Linked DNA regions of Diceros bicornis minor. The protein of the gene in region 1 interacts with the protein of each later gene in a pairwise test. Links are inferred from orthologs where the notes say so. Each region holds a gene or a part of one and is shown in the gene's direction. Other genes may lie near its edges.

Region 1 (7,168 bases):
GTACACCTGAAATTTTTGCAATGTTATAAACCAATGTTACTGCAATAAACAAAAAATTAAAAAAAAAAAAAAAAAGACACTCCTCAAGAAACAAGAATTCAGGCTTATGTCTTCTGGGATCCGTTGCTTCCTTTCTCTCATTTGAGAAATAAAACTAAATTCTCTGTTCACCCTCCTCACTTACAAAAAAAAAACTACTTAAGTGCTCTTTCCATTTATCCCTCCTCTTGGTAACAGAGGTTGGTTTTCAGAGTGACCTGTATTCCTGTATGAACAGCCACCCTCTTCTCCCCTTGGTGTGAAGAGCCACAACATCTATTGGTAGTCTCTCAGCTAATCATCCCTTAGGGTGGTGGGCGTGGACAGACCTCTGTTGACATGGGTGCCACTGGGGGATAATCCATAGTGTACAAGGTGGCAGCCTCAAGGAGCAGGGTGGGTGTGGGGCATCCTGCTGAGTAGGATCAGATAGCTAGGAAAAAACAGAGCAGTTATGTAACTTTGTTTACCATGGCTCAAGTGGCTCTAAGAAGACAGAGGCAGCCCCCTGACAAAAGGCAGTCCCAGAGATGTGGAAGAGTCACAGGGAGGGAGGTCCCTGTTAGATAATAAGGCAGACGCCAGAGGAGATAGTGGATTGGGGTGAAAGGAATCTACTCTGTTGTTGAAACAGCCAGGTCACCTAGGACAGCCTTCCCTATCCTCAGCCTCTCCCTAAACCATGCCAGCTGTCTTAGGGGTCGGGCCAGCAGCAAGTAGAACTGAGACTGGAGGGAGGAGCTGAGAAATCAGACACCTGTTTCTTGGCTGAATCTCTGGACTTTGGTACTTTTTGCCCTTTAATCTTCCACTTTTCAAAGAGGAGGGATTCTTCTCCCTAAATATGGGCAGAAAAGGAGGAGTCGGTCAAGGTTCCTTATGTTCTATGCTCCCACCAATCTCTCATCCTCTCTTCTGTCAAGCTGGATGGGCACGAGGAAACATGATAGAGGGATCCTGTTACAGCTCTTGTCCAAGCACATAGCCTAAGACTCTGGGAAGGAGGGCGATTTCCACTGGTGCCAGGGCAAAGCAGTTTCTGTCCTGAGAGAGAAGGTGATAAGCACAGCAGAGCCCGGGCCTAAGTAGACAGGCAGAAGTCCAAGAAGCTCAGGAGAAAGGCTCAGGTTTCCTCCAGCAAGGCCTACCCCGCCTCCTCCTACAAGCTGTTTACTGGACTCCCTATTCCCATAGAGATGAAACTGGTAGCCAGTCCCCAGCTCCTTGCCCATGGCTGCCACCTCCCTTTGTGACACACAGGAAGTTGAGACCATTGTCAGCTCAGCTGCACCCTCTACGTTAAATATTTATCTTGGAGTCCAGGTCAGAGCCCTAGAGAATGAGAGAAGCTTGCTGCTGGTGAGAGAGGGTATGGCCAGGATTCCTGGAGCTGGGAGATCTTCAGCTTCACCATCTTTGGAGAACAAGGAAGAACATGAAAAAGATGTGGCCCTTCTTAGTCGTGAGGATCCTGACAGGTGGGAAAAAACTGATGACAAGGGACATGGGCACATATTTTGTCCCTGAGGGAGGGAAGGAGATGGTGCCTAGGGGTGGGTAAGTAAGTATCCAAGCTTTAGGGAAGGGAAAATGCACTTTGCCCTCAGGAAGTCCGAGAGCTCCTACACTCCTTTCTGCAGCTGTCGTCTGTGGGCAGGGCTACCCATCCCAACCCTGTCCCTTCAGCTGTCCTGGAAAATCACTGACTCTTGGAAGGGGTCTTCAAGGTGATCTCGTTCAGCTCCCTGCTCCGTGCAATCATTGCCTTTACAAAGGTGTCCCCCAATTGGCAGAGTACAGAATTCCTGTAATCATGTAAAAGCTCATCCTTGGAAACCTTGGATTTGCTTCCAAGTGGGCACCCAATGGTCCCACTTCTGCCGGTGCAGCCAGTCTGTTTCCTCACACCACCCTGAAGACACTGGGAGCTAGCCAGCATGCCTCCCTCTCTTAAGCTTCTTCTCAGCCTAAACATCTCGTTCTGCTTTTCACGTGTGATATTGTTTCAAGCTGGTTCACCCCAACTGGAAACATCTTTTAACTGAATTGAGGAAGGATCAAGCTAATAGCATCAACGATGTAGGAATTTAAGAAAAGATTCTTTCATCTTTCCTCCATTCTCTTCCTTCTTCCTTCTGAAGGTTGAATGATGTGCTTGGAAAACACTCTGAAGTGCATGGTGGCCTCAGGGCACCAATCTTACACCCAGTAGGTATGCAGTAAACGTTTTCATATTTTCATAATTTATAATTGATCACTCCCGAAATGGATCTGAAATTGCCCAATAACTATTTGCTATATGGTTGGTTTGGAGCTTGGGGTCCCAGAACCAAGCCAACGGCTAAGAAGTACTCCAGAGTCTTTCCATCAGCAGTAAACATTCAGTAAGCACCCTCACTTTCTATAACAGGCCCTGTGCCCACCAGAGGCTTGGGGGAGAAGGGGAAGAGGGATGACCAAGGGGTGGAGAGCCACTGGACGCGGGCTCTTGGGACCCGTGTCAGAGCAGCGGGAACAGCGGAAAAGCAGCAAGATCAAAACAAACACGCGTATGGGAACACCAAGACCCTGGTAACCCCATCCCGGCCAAAGGGACTCCGCCCTCATCCTCTTCAGGGGCGCGGCTCGCCTAGGGGGCCAGCTCCCGTCGGTGGATTTCCTCTCCGGGCTGCCCTCCGCGGTGCTTGCACGTGTGTGAGCATCCGCCCGTTTGCAGTGCACACGCGCCTGTGTGTGTGTGTGTGTTTGCACACGCCGGGCACGCGCTTACGCAAGCACGAGATTTCTCTCCCCAGGGGCGGAGGGAGGCGGCGGGACCTGAACTCGGTCCGCTAGGCCGCTCTGCACGTGGCGCCCTTATCTCGGCCCCAGCCTGTCTGCAGCCCTGTCCTGTCTCCGAGGCTGCCGGCTCCGTATCAGTTGCTGGCTCGGCCCGGCCTCTTGAATCAGTCCTGCCCTCTGTCCTGGCTCCGCCGCGCAGGGCTCCCTTCCCACACGCTGGAAATGTCGCTGGAAACTCTGAGTGGCTCTCGCCGGTCCTCCCGCCCCCGCCCCGACGCCAGCCCTGCGGTGGGGGCCGGGAGAGGCAGCTGGGAAACCCGAGCGGGCTCCCCGGGGACCCTCGGCGGCCCCTCCCGGCGCCGCCTCCGGCCGGCCCGGCCCCCTCTGCAGGGGCCCCGGCGTCCCCGCCCGCCCGGCCCCGACGGAGGGCACTCGCACGCCCCCGGCCGCCAGCGGGAGAGGGAGTCGCCGCCCGCCCCCGCCCCCCAGCGGCCCACAGTCCAGACTAAGGGCGACACTGCCGCCCGCCCGCGCCTCTCCTGGTCCTCCTGCGGTGCGCGCCCTCGGCCCCGTCGGTCCCCCGCTCCCCTCGGGCGCCGGCCTTGCGGGCCCCGTCCTGACCCGGTCACGAGGGCGGACGGCACAGCCCGGGTTTCTGCCTGCCCTCCCTGCCCGAGCGCCCGCCGCGGCCGCGCCAGGCAGGAGCCGGGCAGAGATGCCCCTGCGCTCCCGGGCATCCTTAGGCCCCGCCACCTGCTCGCCGGGGAAGGTAGGTGCCGGCAGGGAGAGGGGCGGAGAGGGGGCGGGGGCCGCAGGCCGGGAGGGAGCCGCGCCCGACCCGAAGGGAAGGCAGAGGGCCCCTCCCCCTGGGGTCCTCGTCCCAAACTCTGAGGTGGAAAGAGGTAAGAGGCCCTCCCTCAATTCAGAAAAGGCGAAATTCGAGGAAACCTGGCCGTGTCCATGTGGACTTGTAGCTGGAGAATACCCGGGAAAGCGCCGAGAGCCAAGCCCCCGGGGTCGGGGCGGTACTTGGAAGTGGGAAGGAGCCTACCGACTCCAACACGGCTTCTGCAGCTCTTCCAGCCCTTTGGAGCTGGCTGCCGGGGTGAAGGGCTTCCTGAATTCTGGGGGGACCCCGTAGATTTCCTGGTACCCTCTGTCCTCTGCCGGGCGTGGGACCAATTCGCCCGTGCCTCTGTCTCCCCTATAAGTCCTCCTTAATGTCTCCTGGCTGGCTGCCAGGAGAAAAACTCAGCCACTGTTCCCCACCCACCCCTGCATATCCCTGGGGGGTGCCACGGGGCACAGTGTTGGGGAGGGGCAGATTGAGCCACCAAGGATCAGCAACCCCTGAAAAATCGGTGTGTGGGGGGACCTCCTGCCCCCACCCCATCCTACTAGAGGGCAGTTCTCACGAGCACAGCAGGGTGGGACCGAGGCGAGGGAAGGAGGCCGGGTCAGCTGATGGTTAGGGCTGCTGATGCTGACCTGGCAATTTGGCCTCAAGCAGTCAGCTGGGCAGGAAGGGGTTGCTGCTAGGAACCAACCTTCTCCAGGCCTCTGTTCTCAGGCTCTTGCCTGCCTCAATTTCCCCCACAAGGGGAGGGAGAGCAGGAGAACTGGGGCGGGTCTGCATGTTTTGCTCTTGGTAGGAGGCCTAATTGGATCCAGCTGGTGAGCTGCCCCTCCTCCAGCCCCAGCCCTCCACTCTTCCACAGCCAGGGATGGGCATGGAAAAGCTGTCCTCGATAGGTCTTTTGAATGTCAGAAGGAATCCTCACTCAGACCAGAGACAGGGAGCTGCCCCCAGCCTTGTCTCTACCCTCCAGCCCCCCATGCCCTGAGCAGGAACTGGGTACCGGAGTAATACAGCCCCTCTTGTACCTTCTTCCCCTCTGGTCCCCATAACTCTTGTGCTGCTCATATGACCCCCCACTGCACTCTCCCCCACCTATTACTCAGCTGACACCCCTCTGTACCCATACCCCCACTCTGCTCACGTGACCCTGGGTGGTACGCTCCCCAAGTCGCGTTCACAGCACTGTGCTTACATTCTACCACACACACACACACACACACACACACAGCACCTCACAAGGCCCTCGCAGCCCTCCCATGAACCCCCAGACACCACAGGCACACACAAGGCTAACCGCTGAACAAAAATGCCAGAATTGGTCTAGCCCCAGAAGGTGGTGGAGGTTGGCTCAGCTTCTGGCCCGGTGCAATAGCACAGGTGAGGAGAGACAGGCTCCACACCTCAGCCCTCTGGGTAGAAAAGCCCTGTTGGACAGCCCCATTGCCTCCATCTCCAGAGTGCCTGCAGCCCCCTTACCCTGACCCAACCCTTGCATGGGGCAGAAGAACCCGGCTGGCCAGTCAGGCATGGTGCTTCCAGGAAGATCCTTCGTTCAAAAAAGAGCCTGGAGGTGTAGGAGGCAGTGGGGTGTGCCCACATGTATGTGTCTTTGTGTGCGGCACTCAGCACCACCCCTCCATCAGCAAGTCCAACAGAGCCCTTACCCACTGCTTCGTTCTCCACTCCCACTCCTCACTGGCACCCTGAGCCCTGTGAGGCTTCAGTCCCAGCAAGCGAAGGATGCCAAAGAAGGGAGATGAAACTTTGAGTCCAGGAGTGGTTCCTGCTGCCTGGAAATGCCTCCACACTCTCCCCGTCCCCAGAACTTTGGCCCCGTTGGGCAGTGGGCGGATGGCCTTGCCGTTGTCCAGGGCTTCTTCCCCGGCCTGAGTAACCCCTTGTGCCCCCTGGCAAGCAGATGCGCACGCAGGGCCTGGGGGAGGCAGAGGGAACTGAAACAAAATGCTGAGTGCCCAGACCTGCCCCTGCCAGCTGCCCCAGTTCCCTCTGCCTTCCCTCTGGGGGAGCGGGCTGCACTGTGCAGTGAGAGCCCCAGAGGGGCTGACCAGCAGGCCCACGGGCCCCAGGCTTTGTCCAGCAGGCCTGCTCCTAGCCAGCCTCCCCTCCTCCTTGCCTGGGCCTTCCCCTCCCCCACTCCCACCCCCACCCCGAGCTCCTGCCTGGGGCCTAACAAGAGCCCATTGTGCCTCTAGGAGCCGGCATGGGGCAGCCTGCAGGAGGGGCCTGCAGCGGCTGTTTCCTGGGTCCTTGAGCTCCCACCCAGCTGGTCTCGACCCCTTCCCACAGCCGTGCCCTCCTCCCCCACCCCTATTGGGGTCAGGCCCAGAGGGCACAGCAGCCTGGGCTCAGCAGGACTTTTCCTTCCTCCTTCCTTCCTTCCCCACAGAGGACAAACAGCGGAGCAGCTGGCACACCGGGAGTCCTCCGACCTTGACCCAAGCATGCAGGCCCCACCCTGCAGCCTCCCCACTGGGCTCAGCCTGGATGACTTCATCCCTAGCCACCTCCGGGCCCACCTAGGGTCATCCTCCCGGGGTACATGGGTGAGTGAGACAGCGAGGGAGAGGGAGTGCTGTGAGCCCACAGTTGGCGGGGACCTCGCAGGACAGATAGGGGCAGGAGGATTAAAGGAATGGAGGGAGGGAAGGGTTGGGAGGCAGCTCTAGAGAGCCTCGCCGCTTTCCCCCAGAAGGGTCAGGCTGGCCCTCGAGCCCTCACCATGGACTCTGGCTGTGCCCTGGTAGCCATCCCTCCCACCTTCTGCAGAACCTTCTGGGCCTGAGCTGCTGCTCCTGGCCCCTTCCCACAGGTGCCTGTGATCCGGAATGGTGGCTCCAACACCCTTAATTTCCAGTTCCATGACCCTGCGCCCAGGACTGTATGCAATGGGTACTTCCCACTGAGAGATGCTTCCCAGCACCCAGGTGGGTCTGCTCAGGAGTCCCGTGTGGGGGTTGGGGGATCAGAGCCTCCTGGGCCCTGCCATCTGCTACCACCCTGGGTCTGGCAGGAGGGGTAGGGGAGGGATGGGGGGGCCTCTGAGCTCAGCTAACTGCCCCTCCCAGTGTGAGCGTGTTGGCCTATGAGAGTGAAATTCGCTGTGGGAGAGAGCAGGCTGATAGATCCCTTCCCCTCCCCTCCCCCAGTGCCAGGCGAGGGAAGTGTACAGGGGACAGAGCCTTGGGCCCCAGAGTGGCCTCCAGCAGGCCAGGAAATAGCTTGGACCGGGGATGGAAGGGTGGAGGAATGTGAGCATATGTTGGCTGTAGAGGGGTGGATGCTGCACCCTAAGGTCTGTACTCACCAGCACAGCAGAAAGTTGGAGAGCCTCTCAGCTCCTGGGCTCCTGTGAACCTCCCCAGTCTGGCCTATGGGCTCTGGGAGATCCTGGGACCTCTGGGGTGCAGGCCCACCCTGAAGGCCCCTTTCCTGAGGAGGATGGCATCCTTTATTGAGCATTCCCTTGAG
Region 2 (7,168 bases), on another chromosome or scaffold:
AGGAGATGAGGCCAGAGACAGAGGTCAGATCACACAGGATCCCATTGGCCTCCTTAAGGAGTTGTGTCTTTAGTCTAAGAACAGTGGGAAACCATGAAGGATTGTAATCACAGGCTATGGACAAATTTCCATTTTAAAAAGGGCTCTCTGGCTGCAGGACTCATAGCAGACCCTCAACCCTCTTTTCCTCAATGCACCCTCAGGTACTAAAGTTGCTAAGTTCTGCTCGCTGATCCTTCCTCCTCATCCTTTGCATCCCCCAACATCTCTCATGGAACAATTGCAATGGTTTCCTAACTGGTCTCCCTGCCTCCAGTCCCACCTCCTCTACACAAGCTTGATCTTACTTGATCTTCAGAACATGCCTGCAAGGAAGCAGAGCAGCAATCCTTATCCCTATTTTGCAGATAAGAAAACTGAAGTCTAGTGGTGCTGTGGAGCTGGCTCTTACAGGCTTGTGAAGGCCAACTGTTAAAATTTCAGGAATTTTGCAAGCCAGTTGTTAAACACAGTCGCTATTAACAATTCAATTATACAAACAATTAAACAAATGATATTAAAATCAAAGATCTCACAACTCATCATTTCCTAATAATTTTACTATTATTATTTACCTATACTCTTGGGGTTTTTTATGTTATTGTGTCTGCATGATGAAACTATCGCATAACGGTATGCTACTGCTTGTCTTTTTTTTTTTTTTGTGAGGAAGATCAGCCCTGAGCTAACATCCATGCTAATCCTCCTCTTTTTGCTGAGGAAGACCAGCTCTGAGCTAACATCTATTGCCAATCCTCCTCCTTTTTTTCCCCAAAGCCCCAGTAGATAGTTGTATGTCATAGTTGCACATTCTTCTAGTTGCTGTATGTGGGACGCGGCCTCAGCATGGCCGGAGAAGCGGTGCGTCGGTGTGCGCCCCCATCGGAACCCAAGCCGCCAGTAGCGGAGCGCGCGCGCTTAACCGCTAAGCCACAGGGCCGGCCCTCAATTATCTAGATTTTAAAAAGGGATGGAGGGGCCGGCCCGTGGCCCAAGTGGTTAAGTGCCCGTGCTCCACTGCGACGGCCGGGGTTCGCCGGTTCAGATCCCGGGTTTGGATCCCGGGCACGCACCGACACACCGCTTGTCAAACCATGCTGTGGCGGCCTCCCATATAAAGTGGAGGAAGATGGGCACGGATGTTAGCCCAGGGCCAGTCTTCCTCAACAAAAAGAGGAGGATTGGCAGATGTTAGCTCAGGGCCGATCTTCCTCAAAAAAAATAAATAAAATAAAAAACTAAAAAGTGATGGAGAAAATGTTAATAATTCAGATTTAAATTTAGTGTGTGTGTCGGCCCGGTGACGCAAGCGGTTAAGTGTGCGCGCTCCGCTGCGGTGGCCCAGGGTTCGCCGAACCAGGGCGCACACCGCTTGGCAAGTCATGCTGTTGCGGCGTCCCATATAAAGTGGAGGAAGATGGGCACTGATGTTAGCCCGTGGCCAGTCTTCCTCCGCAAAAAAAGAGGAGGATTGGCAGATGTTAGCACAGGGCTGATCTCCTCACACACACACAAAAAAGAGTAAATTTGTGTCTGTAGCAGATATGTTGTGAATAGCACAAAAATTGAGGAAATGTGCTTTCAGTACTTGACAACTGTTTTCTGATTCAGCAAAGAAGTTGCTCCCATAATTGACAGTTTTTCTCTTTCCTCTTACATTGACATAGAGGAAAATATCAACCAACATTCATTCACGTCGCAATTACACTCCCCGGTCAATTGAAACCACAGGTTGGCTACCCATACCAGAGTTTGGCAAAAATCAATGAAATTATTCTGTGAGAATCAATTGGTTACATGAAAGTGCAATTGCATATCATTATTATTTGTAAATTGTACACTACACATCCTTTACATCAGTATAATTTATGATAAACTTATGTACCTATATATATGCATACATTCCCCTTTTCCCCCCAGAGGGTCGGCTGTTCAACATTTAGCAGCACACCAGTGGGTCTAGAACACATTATTCATGTGTCTTTCCATAAATATGCCAAGGGGATACAGTTAGTCAATGAAGAAATGACTCGGCCACGGTTACACATCGCAAGCGGCATAGGCGGGACCAGAACCAGAGGTCCTCCGAAGGCCAGCGGCTCTCCCAGCACCACACCAGGCTTTCCAGGGCCGCTCCACCTTACCGGGAGCGGTGGCTTAGGCCAGAGCGCCCGGGAAGTGAAAAACAGGGTCGAGGCAGGGGGACCAACGACCAGGCGAGAGGCAGCTCACGGCCAATAGCGGCCCAGGCCGCGCGCAACGTCACACTCCGTGGAGGCCGGCACGATCCTGTCCCGGGGAGGGGGGCGTGGTCACAGCCTCCCGGAAGTGACGGCATCGGGGGGCGGTCCTCGGCGGCGGGGGCGGCGGCGCGCGGCCTGGGCTCGCGCTGGGCTCCGCGCGCCCTCCGCCCCCCTCTATGAGGCAGAGACCGCGGCGGCCGTTAGCGCTGTCGCTCCGGGGCCCGCGGCGGGCGGGGCTCCGGCGGGGCCCGGCCTAGTCCCCACCCCAGCTCGGCTCCCAGCCGCCCGCCCTCCCTCCCTCTCCCCGATGCAGGGGGCCGAGCTCCGGGATGGCGAGGCGGCGGCGGCGGCGGCGGCTTCGTACCGCGTCCTGAGCCGCCTGCTCGGCTATGGAGAGTCGGCCCCCGAGCCAGGCCCGCCGCCGCCGCCCCCGGGCCATGGTCCCCCGCCGCCACCCTTCCTCTCGCGGCCCGGCCCGCGGGGTTCCCGGCCGCCGCAGCTGATGGTGTTCCGCAACGTGGGTCGGCCGCCGGAGGAGGAGGACGCGGAGGCGGCCCCGGACCCGGGACCCTCGGAACTGCTGTGTCCCCGGCATCGCTGTGCCCTGGACCCGAAGGCCCTGCCGCCGGGGTTGGCGCTTGAGCGGACCTGGGGCCCGGCGGCTGGACTAGAGGCGCAGTTGGCGGCTCTGGGGCTCGGGCAGCCGGCGGGGCCGGGGGTCAAGACGGTCAGTGGGGGTTGCTGCCCGTGCCCGTGCCCCCCGCAGCCGCCCGCTCCGCAGCCCCAGCCGCCTGCTGCCGCCCCGCAGGCCGGGGAGGATCCCACGGAAACGAGCGACGCGCTGCTGGTCCTGGAGGGCTTGGAGTCGGAGGCCGAGAGCCTGGAGACCAACAGCTGCTCGGAAGAGGAGCTCAGCAGCCCTGGCCGCGGAGGAGGAGGGGGCGGACGGCTTCTGCTGCAGCCCCCAGGCCCTGAATTACCCCCGGTGCCCTTCCCGCTGCAGGACTTGGTCCTTCCAGGGCGCTTGAGTAGAGGGGAGCAGCAGCCGCAGCAACCTCCCCCGCCCCCGCCTCCTCCTGGGCCCCTCCGGCCACTCGCGGGCCCTTCTCGCAAGGGCTCCCTCAAAATCCGCCTCAGTCGCCTGTTTCGGACGAAGAGCTGCAATGGTAGCTCGGGCGGTGGGGATGGGGCCGGCAAGAGGCCTTCTGGAGAGCTGGCTGCTTCAGCTGCGAGCCTGACGGACATGGGAGGCTCTGCGGGCCGGGAGCTGGACGCAGGGAGGTGAGAGAGGCTGGGGGGCTGGCTGACAAACTTTCCCTTCTTGTTTCATTTCCCTTTTATTCTGTTGCTAACACGATCCTGACAATTGTTATGGTCTTCATGAGGAGGCAGAGACTTGGGGCTAAAGGTGGTGACATCGCCCATTAGGTCGGAGCTAATTGTGGGAACAGCTTTCACTCTTAAAGAGTTCCCTCCCCGGTGAAACCTCTCAGCGGGTTAGCATCTCTAGATGGGAGATGATTTGAAACCATCCTCCCCACCCCAACCCTGGCCCAGCTTTTAAAGTTTTTACAAGGTACCTGCCTACCATTACCCCTGGCACCGAGGTTGCTGGAATGTTTGGCCTTTGGGGCAAAAAGTTGGTATTGCGTTTTGACCACCTTGCTTATTACTTTGTGTATCAGCACCCCACCCCCTTCACACTCATGCATGCAAATGATGTGACAAACTTGTGCAGTTGTAGGCCAGCAATCAATTGGGTATCTCTATTCGAAGTGTTAATGTTTTCCTGGTTGGTCACTTAGGTATACTTGGTATCTCAAGTGTGTGTGCTGACCACTGCCTGTGAGAACAGAAAATAGTTTTGCTCTCAAGCCCATGGGAAAATTCTAAGTATGAGGTATTGGTGCATGAGTTTGAGGCCAATTGATGAAAATTCCAAACTTAGACATTGAGTTTTTTCTTGCATTTCTGGAGGGTGGATTGCTCTCTGATATCCAGTGTTAGATCTGTAATATCAGTTTAGAAAAGTGTCAACTTTTGTGTCACCAAAATGAGGCCTCCCTTGTGGTAACTGCCATTGTGGTTTGTGCTGCTGAATGGATTCTTAGAAAGATTGGAATTGGTTTTGGGTGGGTCATGTGATGGATTCTTGAGACACACTGGCAGCCACAACCCAAGGCTGAAGAACAGGTAGACGAATAAACTGAGAACTTTGCTGTGCACCAGAATCACATGGAGAGCTTTTGGGAAAGATCCGTATGCCTGAGGGCCCAAGAATTTGAATTTTTAAAGGCTCCCCAGTTGATCCTGAAGTCATGACCTGAACTGGGAACCACTTATCCATAGACTGCTCTTTTCAAGGGAACTTGGATACTCCAAGTGTGGGGTCAGTTTGACTTTGCTGCCCTTTCTGAACGGCTGCGCAGGGGCTCATCTTGGGGATCAGACCAAACCCGAACTCCCTAAAGGAATCGGTAGGTTGATGCTCATTGCCCCTGCAGGTAGGCCTGTTTCTGCTGCTGCCTCCCAATGAACTCATGCTGAGAGCTCAGGTCTTGAAAAGTGTGTGGCTGCTGAAGCAGCTTTTTTTGTAGGTAGGCTCTGCATTCGGTGCTCCACTTACCAGTACAGATGAAATTTTCATCAAATGGGGGGAGGGCAGGATTGAAGCTGGGGGTAATGACATAGGATAGATTGCTGATTTTCTTGTGGTTTGTCTTGCCTTTGTTCCATATTGACCAGGACTTGGTCTAAGATTCTTGCGACGCCAAATATGAGGTGTGGCGTGAAATTAGCTGCTACGTCTAATAGATTAGAAAGAGGAAAAGGCATATAACATTATACGGTTTTTTGCCTTTGGAAGCAGAATTTAATGGTCATTGGCTGCTCTGTCACCAGGTCTCACACTAAGCACAATACAGATTTCTGCTGCAGAGCAAATTGGGCTGTAGCTCTGCAAAGAAGCTTAGTTCAGGCCACTGGAGAATTACATTTTTTGGTCCAAGGGCTTTTTCTGATGAATTGGAGAAGAGCTAGGTATTTGTGTGTGAACGTCTGGTTGACTGCTGTTAGGAGGCAGCAGGTTGTACAAAGAATGTGAACATTCAGATTCCATTTAAAGCTCCAACATCAGCTGTGGGCTGCAGGCTAATTTTGTCATCTTCGTGCTTCCCCCTTTTTTCATCTGTAAAATGGGAGTGATTCCTGTCTTGTTCCTGTCATAGAAATAGAGTGAAGACAAGAGAAATTGAGATGGAATATTTTGTGCTTTTGGAGGAGAAGTAACAAGATTGAACTGGTTATTTTATTTTATTTTTTTAATGCTTAGGATTTGGTGCTGTTAGATTTGCTTGTTAGCTTTTCCACAGCTTACTATGTGCCAGTCTTGCTGGCAGCCTCGCAGCTGTGAGAAACTTGGTAAAGTCTGGCCGCGGTAGTTGTGATTTCTACGGATCTGCACCTCCTAAGTAAGTCTGCCCTGTTGGGAGGAAGGATGAGTTTGGATTTTTAGCTTGTTCTCTTGTTTTGATTGGTGGGACCTGGAAGCCATGAGAAGTGTCAGTCTTTTGCCAGAAGGTAAATGCCTTCCTCCTTATTGTTGGTTGGAGTTAATTATGAGTTTCTGCAGTCTTTGCTGTATAATTTGGGGCTGCTACAGTAACCTCTGGGCATGATTCTCTTTGCTCTTCTCAACATCTACCTTTCCCACAGCTATCACTAGAAAGTACTTCCTACAATCATTTTATAATCTTTCATATTTTAACATTAAGCACAACTTTAGTTCCTTTCAGATGCTTTAGCCTGCTGAGTGGAACTGCCTGGATATACTGAGTCTTGGGTCTAGCAAGAGTTAGCCTAGAGAACTCTTTTCAAGTAAAGGAAAAAATGGGCCCACCAACTAATCAGGTTTCTGTTCTGGAGAACTGGGCTAGGCCTTGTAACACACATATGTTGGAATTCAAAGAGCTGGGCTTGATGCCTGTGGGCCTTGGTGTAATATAGAATTGCTATTTCAGGAAAACTAGTGAAGTTCCCTTGTCTGTTTCACATATGTTGAGCTGATTATCTTCCTTTGTATTTGGTGAGAAACAGCATTTGATCTGACCTTTTTGAATCGTCACATAATATACACTTGGTTGGAAATGGGTACCTTGTTAATTTGTCAAGGTTTGTTTTTTCCCAGTTAACAGTTGAGTTAACTGGCAGTCTTCATAGTTGTGAGGTGGAAAAATGGAGAACAGTTCTATAGTGGTTTCCATCTATTTGTTTGGAAAAAAAGATAGAATTCTGGAAGAGAGGCAGGCTGCCTTGGCATCAGTTTGGGGCCCTGCTGTCGTGGACAGACCTGGCAATCATGAGAAACCCTTTTCTCTGTTTTCTTGGGTCTTCAGGTCTGAGGGGGTCTTTTTGAGAAATAGCATGACATGCTGAGAGCAAAATGATTTTATGGTGTGCTGAGGAAGTTCCGACTTTATGTTTGGGTTTTGGGTCCATATTCTGTTGATCTTTTTACCTATTTTTCCACCAAGTGGTTGTGGTTGGCAGCTCTCTTTTGGAATGAGCAACCTGGCTTCAGAAATCTCTGTCTGTCAATTTGGGCCTTGTGTCTTTCACTCTTTAACATTTTCCCTGCTAACGTCATTCCTAAGGTTTTAGACCTTGGACTGTGCCTCTCAGCTTCTCCCTGGAAGTTCTCTCCACAGGTTCTTTAGTTTAGTTTATGATGGAGTTTTGGATCTGACCTTGCTGCACAGATGTCTGTGTATTGGAACTAAAAATGAACACATGGTTTTTGTGCCTGTAGCACATGAACAGACACTGGCTTATGATGTGTTGGAAATGGCACAGGCTGGCTGACTTGGCACTGTGTGCTTTAGCAGGGG
Region 3 (7,168 bases), on another chromosome or scaffold:
CTCCCTAGAGTCGGGGTATGGACCTAGTGGAGATTCTCTCCTTCCTCTTCCAGCTCAGCTTCTCTACTCTGGGCAAGGTAAGCGGGGGGCTGGGGCTGGAGCTGGGCGCTTGGGTGGGCGAGCTGAAGAGTAGAGAGAAGGGAAGGCGAAATGAGGTTATGGGGCAATAGAGTTAAAAATAAGAATGAACAAAGAGGACCAGCGATGGGAAAGGAGGGAGTGAGTGTACGGGGTGGGGAAAGGGAGAATGGGATGGGAAAGGGAGAATGGGATGTGTTTTGGACCCCAGCTGGCCACTTCTCTTTCCCAGGATTACTCTGTAGAAGGTATGAGTGATTCTCTGTTGAACTTCCTGCAACATCTACGTGAGTTCGGGCTTGTTTTCCAGAGGAAGGTATGAGCACCCAGATACGTGGCTTGTAGGGAGGAGGCAAGGTGGTATGTTGCCTTGCCCTTTAAAAAGGAGTGGGGTCGTGGGACGCAGTAGTAGGAAGCAGTTGCCAGGACTGAATACTTGGGCCCCTTGGGGGCGAGAAGTTGGGAGTCGAGGTTCTGGGCACTGGGAGGGATCTGATGTCTCAGGAGGATGTAGGGCGGTGACACCTGAGGCCCTCTGCCTTTCCCTTCTATCCTTTCCAGAGGAAGTCTCGGCGTTACTACCCCACGCGCCTGGCCATCAATCTCTCGTCAGGTGTTTCAGGGGCTGGGGGCACTGCGCATCAGCCGGGCTTCATTGTCGTGGAAACCAATTACCGACTGTATGCCTACACGGGTGAGGCCGGACAGGGGCCCTGGAGAGCAGGTTGGAGATGGGAGTGGGTTGGGGGACAGAAACAGGAGGGAATGCCAGTTTATGTTCACATTTACCTGGAGGTTTTAGAGAGCTCTCTGACATTTCTCGTCACGCTGAAGGAAGGGCTGGAGGGAGTCCGGGTGTGGGGGAGCCTCATCCTCTTCTCCTACCCTGGTTCAGAGTCAGAGCTGCAGATTGCCCTCATCGCCCTCTTCTCTGAGATGCTCTATCGCTTCCCCAACCTGGTGGTGGCACAGGTGACCCGGGAGAGCGTGCAGCAGGCCATTGCCAGTGGCATCACAGCCCAGCAGGTATCTCCATTTGTGGGAGGTGGGGGCAGGAAGGGACTGGCTGCACTTGGGCCGTGGGGTACAGGCTGGTCACCTTACAGAAAGCTGGCACCTGATCTGTTACAGTAGGTGGTGGTGAGTTGTCTGTGTTTGATCACCAGGCATTGAGAAGTCAAGGCTTTAGGTGTGGGAACAGGCAGACCCTCAAGGGGAAAAAACATGGAGGGAGGAGGTACAGCTCTGGATTTGTGTCTTGGCATCACCACTTCTTAGCTGCATAAACAGTCTAGTTGCTTCACTTCTCTGAGCCTCAGTTTCCTCATCTGGAAAATGGAAATAATGACAGTTCTCACCTCATAGGGTTGTTGGGAGGATTCAGTGAAAGAATAGAGGGTAAGGCATGTAGCTCAGAGGCTGCCAGGCAGTAAGTCCTCACAAAATAATAGCTGCTGCTATTTTAAAGAAAGAAAAACAAAACAAGACTACAAGAAGGGCCAGAGAAGGAGTAGCAGACATGACCAATGGGAACAGCCACTTGAGACAACAGCTGAACAGGGATGGGTTGAGTTGACTACAGGCACGTGGCTATGAGTTTTTAAACAGTAAATTGATGTTCCAATGACTTAGGTGACAGCTTGGGTAGCTTTCCTACCTTCTTCCTCAAGCCCTTGATCCCATTCTTGTCTGTTTTCCTAGATCATCCATTTCCTAAGGACAAGGGCCCACCCAGTGATGCTTAAACAGGTACAAACAGGTGCCAGGCTGCTGGAGGCTGACAGCCCCTGGCACCTGGTGATGAAGGGATGGAAACGAGAAAGGGGCATCCAAGTCTGGGGAATGAGTGGAGGGCTGGGGGTGTCTGGGGCAGTGTTCCTGAATTTTACAGGCATCTCTTGCCCCTGCAGACACCGGTGCTGCCCCCCACCATCACTGACCAGATCAGGCTGTGGGAGCTGGAAAGAGACAGACTCCGGTTCACCGAGGGTGAGTGGCTTCTGGTGGGTGATTCTTGGTCACTGGCCAGAGGAAGGACAGTTCAGTCTTGATGAGCTGAAAAAGCTATTAATGCATTTTATTTGTTTACCGCATGGGCTGGGAGAGAAAAGCTGGCAAGACACTTGTTATTTTAGGGTGAGTTGGTAGTAATAAATAGTCTCAAATCAGTGCAATGTGGATTTAGCTAGAAGAGGGAAATTGGGAGGGATAATTCACGTATCTCTGGTTTTGCTGAGCATTAAGGGGTTTTTTTATTGTATTATATCACCTTCCTGAATATGGCTGGATCACACTAGTGGTAGAAGGTCCCTGGAACAGACAAGCATAGAGGATTAGTTTTTAAATTGTGGTGGGTGGCAAGCCCGGACCCCTGCCCTGAGGCTGCCATAGGGGCTCTTCCCTCACGTTCTGGTCTTTTCTCTCTCTCTTCCCGCCACTGCCGTCCTGGGACCCAGGCGTCCTGTATAACCAGTTCCTGTCGCAAGTGGACTTCGAGCTGCTGCTGGCCCACGCGCGGGAGCTGGGCGTGCTGGTGTTCGAGAATTCGGCCAAGCGGCTCATGGTGGTGACGCCGGCCGGGCACAGCGACGTCAAGCGCTTCTGGAAGCGGCAGAAGCACAGCGCCTGAGGAAGCGGGCGGACCGGACCGGACCTGGGCTGGGCGGGGCGGGCCAAGCCGGCTGTGGCCTCAGAACTCAGGCGTTTTTTATTTACACGTGGGGACTCTTGTTTAATAAAGTTGTGGAAGTCAGCCACGCGGCCCGGGCGCCTCCCCGCTGGGCTTCCCCTTTCCGCGGTGGGGCGCCTCTCCGCGGGGCTTCCCCTCTCCGCGGTGGCGCGCTCCTCGACGTCGACGGCCATTCGACTCGGAGGGGAAGGGGGTGGGGCCGAGGCCAGCTACTGCGCATGCGCCCGGCGGAGCTCCGGCGCCCGGCGCCGAGCGGATCGTGGGTCTCGTTCCGGGGTCGGGTTCGCCGGTTCATGCAGCTCTTGTTGCCGCCGCCGCGGGCCGCCCTGGGATAGCGGCGGGCTTGCCCGGTGAGCGCGCGTGAGGCGGCTTCTGGGGAGTGGGAGGCGCTGCGGGCCCGGGGCCCACGCGGTTGGATCGGCGGGAAGGCCGGGCCGCACAGGCCTGGGGGCGGGGCGGGCGGCTCTGGGCAGGCCGAGATCGCAGTGATAATGGGGGTACTCATTGCTGGCGCTCGGGCGCGCTGATGTAGATCATCCTCCTAGATCCCTGAGACTTTTCCCCACTTGTGTGTCAGCGGTCATCTCCGCGTCGCGGATGAATACGTTGAGGGCCAGAGATTCCGATCCTGTCCCAGAAGAGCCCTGATCTCCGTGACCCTCAGGAACCTGTTACTGTCGACACCACGCACGCTAGTCCTCACGGAGGAAGGGTTGTGTGGGAAGGGATAGATACTTAGAATAACAGACCAGTGCTAGTAGGAGGCAGGGAATAAGGAATAGGGTGTGACTTTAGGGGGTATGACCTTCCGCTACCCCCATATTTTAATGTACTCTGTCTGGAACAGATCTTGGCCCCTTTCCAAGCACTCCTGATGCCTCATTTGCCTCTGGCCTCTTTTCGACCACCGCTTTGGGGGCTGAGGCCCTCACGGGGCCTCCCCAGGTCCCATCCGCTTTCTACTCAATCAGAGCCCCATGGATCCCCTATCTCCCGGAAGAACCGTGAAGCCAAACAGAAGCGCCTGCGAGAGAAGCAGGCGGCACTGGAGGCTGGGATAGCCCGGAAGAGCAAGGTTAGGGGTCAGACAGCTTGTCCTTGGTTCGATGAGAAGACTTGGGAGGGAGCTGGAGTATCCTGGAGGGTGCCTGGGGTATCCTGGGAATTGCATCTCCCCCTTCTGGTCCTTCCTCCCCCTAGTCACCAGCAGAATCCAGTAAGGCCTGGGCTCCTAAGGAGATAGTACTGTATGAAATCCCCACGGAACCCGGTGAAAAGAAAGGTAACTAGGAACTTGAAGGTCGTTTCTCTCACCATATTTGTTGCCCATTTGATCTGCTGAAATGCAGCCTGGGAACAAAGTTCAGGAGTTAGTGGAGCTCTCTTCTGCCTCCACAGATGTCTCACAGCCCCTGCCCCCTACATACAGCCCCCGATATGTTGAGGCTGCCTGGTACCCATGGTGGGTGCGAGAGGGCTTCTTCAAACCAGAATATCAGGTTAGTACATGGCAGGAGGGGGACTAAACGGTCCCCAGGATGGACTGGTGAGTGAGGTTGGTGGACACAGCTGAGCCTCAGAGCCCAGAGCTCACAGCCAGCCACATTGCAGAGCCTGTCAAAAAACAGGGAGCGCTTGCCTTCTGGCCCTGGTGTCTCCAAAGCGTTTTTAAATCATGTTTTCCCCTTCCCTGCAGTTCTTTCTGCCTTGGAGACACCAGAGGGTGCTATCCTCTCAGGTAACATCCAGTCCTCTCTTGCCATTTGACTTTTCTCCTTCCTTCTAGACCCAGCTGCCCCAGACCACAGGGGAGACCTTTTCCATGTGTATCCCACCTCCCAACGTCACTGGCTCCCTACACATTGGTCATGCGCTGACAGTGGCTATACAGGATGCCCTTGTGCGCTGGTGAGAGGGGAATGGGGCTGCTTGAGTTCTTGGAGGGGAAGTAGAAAGCGTGGGAAGGAGTGAGGATAAACACGTAAGCCCAGGGATTCACATGAGCATATTTCTTTTGCAGGCACCGGATGCGTGGGGATCAGGTGCTGTGGGTCCCTGGCTCAGATCATGCAGGAATTGCTACCCAAGTATGTCTTCTGCCACTTTTTCCTTTTCTTGAGTGAAAGAGATTTCTTCCCCTAAAGCAACCTGATTCTCTGTTCATTTGCCCTCTAATCTTATTGTAGGCTGTGGTGGAAAAACAACTATGGAAGGAGCGAGGAGTGAGGAGACACGAGCTGAGCCGAGAAGAATTCCTTAGGGAGGTGTGGAAGTGGAAGGATGAGTGAGTATGATGGGCAGGGGTGGAGGGGCCAAGAGAGCAGGTGGAGATGCTTGCTTCCCAGCCACTCTGTCCTAACTTGTAATCGTGGCTCTTCCCATCCAGCCCTAACCTCCTTTGGAGACATAAGCTCTGGAGCCCCTTAGCATTTGATGGGGTCTCCTAGCTGTGTGTGTGATATACATTAAATTGTATATATTTATGTGTATATGTGCATATGTATATATATGTTTTTTTCCTCCACTTATCCCATTTTCCTTTGCCTACATTTCACCACCTCTTGTCACCCATTTCCATTTTCCGTGTGCGTGAAATTACCTTCATTCTTCCAGATCTGTTATCACATGCCGTCTTCTCTGTAAAGCTTCTTTGGGTTTCCCACAAATCAGCTGTCCCCTCCTCTGTTATGCTTCTTTTAAACTCCTGGGTTTGTGAGTCTGTCTCCATTAGCTTCCAGAGGGCAGATCAATGGCACACTCACTGTAGTACTCAGCATTGCTGGGGCCATCACTGGGCCTGGTTCATAGTTGGCGGTCAGGACATGTTTGCTGATGGAAATCTCTCTGGGCACAGGAAAGGTGGAGAGATCTGTGAGCAGCTCCGAGCTCTGGGGGCCTCCCTGGACTGGGACCGAGAGTGTTTCACTATGGATGCTGTGAGTGTTCCATGTCTTGGTCCCTGTGGGTGTCAGGGGGTGTTTAGAGACCTGTGCAGGGAGGCAGGTTGTTGTGTGTGTTGGATGTAGGAGGGTGGGAATGCCTGGGCCCCTGAGTGGGGCGATGGGCTGGGAAGGGGCTGTTGGATGTGGACACTCAGGTCATTCTAGGGCTCCTCAGTGGCTGTGACCGAAGCTTTCGTGCGACTCCACAAGGCGGGGCTGTTGTACCGGAGCCAGCAGCTTGTCAACTGGTCATGTGCTTTAAGATCAGCCATCTCGGATATTGAGGTGAGGCGGAGAAAGAGAAGCAGGTTTGAGAGAGTGCTGAGGCAGGGTGAAAGCTCAGACTCTGGAGCCAGTCAGCCTGGATTCACATCCGGGTCCTGCCATCTACCAGCTGTGTGAGTTCTGGCAGGCCATTAGCCTCTTTCAGCCTCAGTTTCCTCAGTCTGTAAATTAGGGATGATGGAAATGCTTGCATCATGGGGGTGTTGTGAGAATTAAATGAGAACTCATGGAAGGTGCTTAGCATGATACCTGTGCGTGGTTTAAGTGCTCACTGAAAATTTTCTATAACTGACTGCACAAGAGTTAGGTGAGGGGAGAGGGAGGTGGCTTCTGAATCCTCTGAATGGCTTTCAGATGGGTTGCAGGGAGGCTGGCATGGATGGATGAGTGGAGGTGGGAAGGCTGGGTGTGAGCTTTGCAGAAATGCTGCTCTCCAGCCCTCCTTCGCTGCCCCCAGGTGGAGAACCGGCCCCTGCCTGGCCGCACGGAGCTTCGACTGCCTGGCTGCCCCACCCCAGTGTCTTTTGGCCTTCTCGTTTCTGTGGCCTTCCCCGTGGATGGAGAGCCTGGTGAGGGTAGTCTTTGGAAGGGTTGCCCACTTACCTCTGCTTCCTCTGTTTTCTTGAGCCATGTTGGGCTAATGGGGGAGAACCACCAGCCTGTTTCCCATGTGACCTGGTGGGAGGGGCATGAGGAACCTTGAAAGTGTTTGCGTTCTTGTGGGCACTTACCATGGGTATTCTGGGCCATGTAAGAAAAGTTCATGTGGTCACCGCCCTTTGGGAATTTAGCATAATTCTGCAGGAGGCTGCTACCTCCAAAAGAGACAAAAGTTCTAAAGTGTGGTTTGGACAGTAAGTGTTCCAAAGACTTCAGAGAAGGGGAAGATAGATGAGCTGGAATAGTCAGAGGAGGTTTCTTGTCGGAAGGGCTGGTGCTAGCCCCAAGAAATGCACAGCATTTGTGACTGGGGCTCTGCGAACCCCCAGTGTCTTATGGGTACAAAGCAAGGACTCTGGTTGCTTTTATGAACACTATATCTATTTCTTCTATGCAAGTTATTGAGGAATTCCTTAGCACCAGACACCCTCTCAGGCCTCTGGTCATTAGCTTACACGGAAACCCCAGGCTCCTATAGGCCCTGGCTCTAATTTTCTCTAGTTACCCCTGGGGG

What was found.
Region 2: the proteins of SORBS3 (region 1) and SOCS7 interact in binary tests that used the Homo sapiens proteins (3 or more experiments, as listed by UniProt). The link is inferred for Diceros bicornis minor from reciprocal best matches to the Homo sapiens genes SORBS3 and SOCS7.
Region 3: the proteins of SORBS3 (region 1) and VARS2 interact in binary tests that used the Homo sapiens proteins (3 or more experiments, as listed by UniProt). The two-hybrid records come from large-scale screens. The link is inferred for Diceros bicornis minor from reciprocal best matches to the Homo sapiens genes SORBS3 and VARS2.

The regions. Positions count from the first base shown.
Region 1 is NC_080750.1:71,326,710-71,333,877, reverse strand, and holds the start of SORBS3 (vinexin), read left to right. Parts: upstream 1-3,408; 5' UTR 3,409-3,589; intron 3,590-6,086; 5' UTR 6,087-6,141; coding exon 6,142-6,243; intron 6,244-6,509; coding exon 6,510-6,624; intron 6,625-7,168. UniProt on the Homo sapiens protein: Vinexin alpha isoform promotes up-regulation of actin stress fiber formation. Vinexin beta isoform plays a role in cell spreading and enhances the activation of JNK/SAPK in response to EGF stimulation by using its third SH3 domain.
Region 2 is NC_080757.1:38,365,556-38,372,723, forward strand, and holds the start of SOCS7 (suppressor of cytokine signaling 7), read left to right. Parts: upstream 1-2,476; 5' UTR 2,477-2,589; coding exon 2,590-3,563; intron 3,564-7,168. UniProt on the Homo sapiens protein: Substrate-recognition component of a cullin-5-RING E3 ubiquitin-protein ligase complex (ECS complex, also named CRL5 complex), which mediates the ubiquitination and subsequent proteasomal degradation of target proteins, such as DAB1 and IRS1.
Region 3 is NC_080753.1:34,261,766-34,268,933, reverse strand, and holds the start of VARS2 (valine--tRNA ligase, mitochondrial), read left to right. Parts: upstream 1-3,000; 5' UTR 3,001-3,117; intron 3,118-3,312; exon of another isoform or gene 3,313-3,614; 5' UTR 3,615-3,641; coding exon 3,642-3,842; intron 3,843-3,967; coding exon 3,968-4,049; intron 4,050-4,165; coding exon 4,166-4,266; intron 4,267-4,553; coding exon 4,554-4,675; intron 4,676-4,787; coding exon 4,788-4,854; intron 4,855-4,953; coding exon 4,954-5,051; intron 5,052-5,621; coding exon 5,622-5,703; intron 5,704-5,874; coding exon 5,875-5,994; intron 5,995-6,451; coding exon 6,452-6,563; intron 6,564-7,168. Other genes in the region: GTF2H4 (general transcription factor IIH subunit 4), read left to right, coding at 9-77, 311-394, 640-772, 974-1,104, 1,780-1,827, 1,989-2,067, 2,535-2,707. UniProt on the Homo sapiens protein: Catalyzes the attachment of valine to tRNA(Val) in a two-step reaction: valine is first activated by ATP to form Val-AMP and then transferred to the acceptor end of tRNA(Val).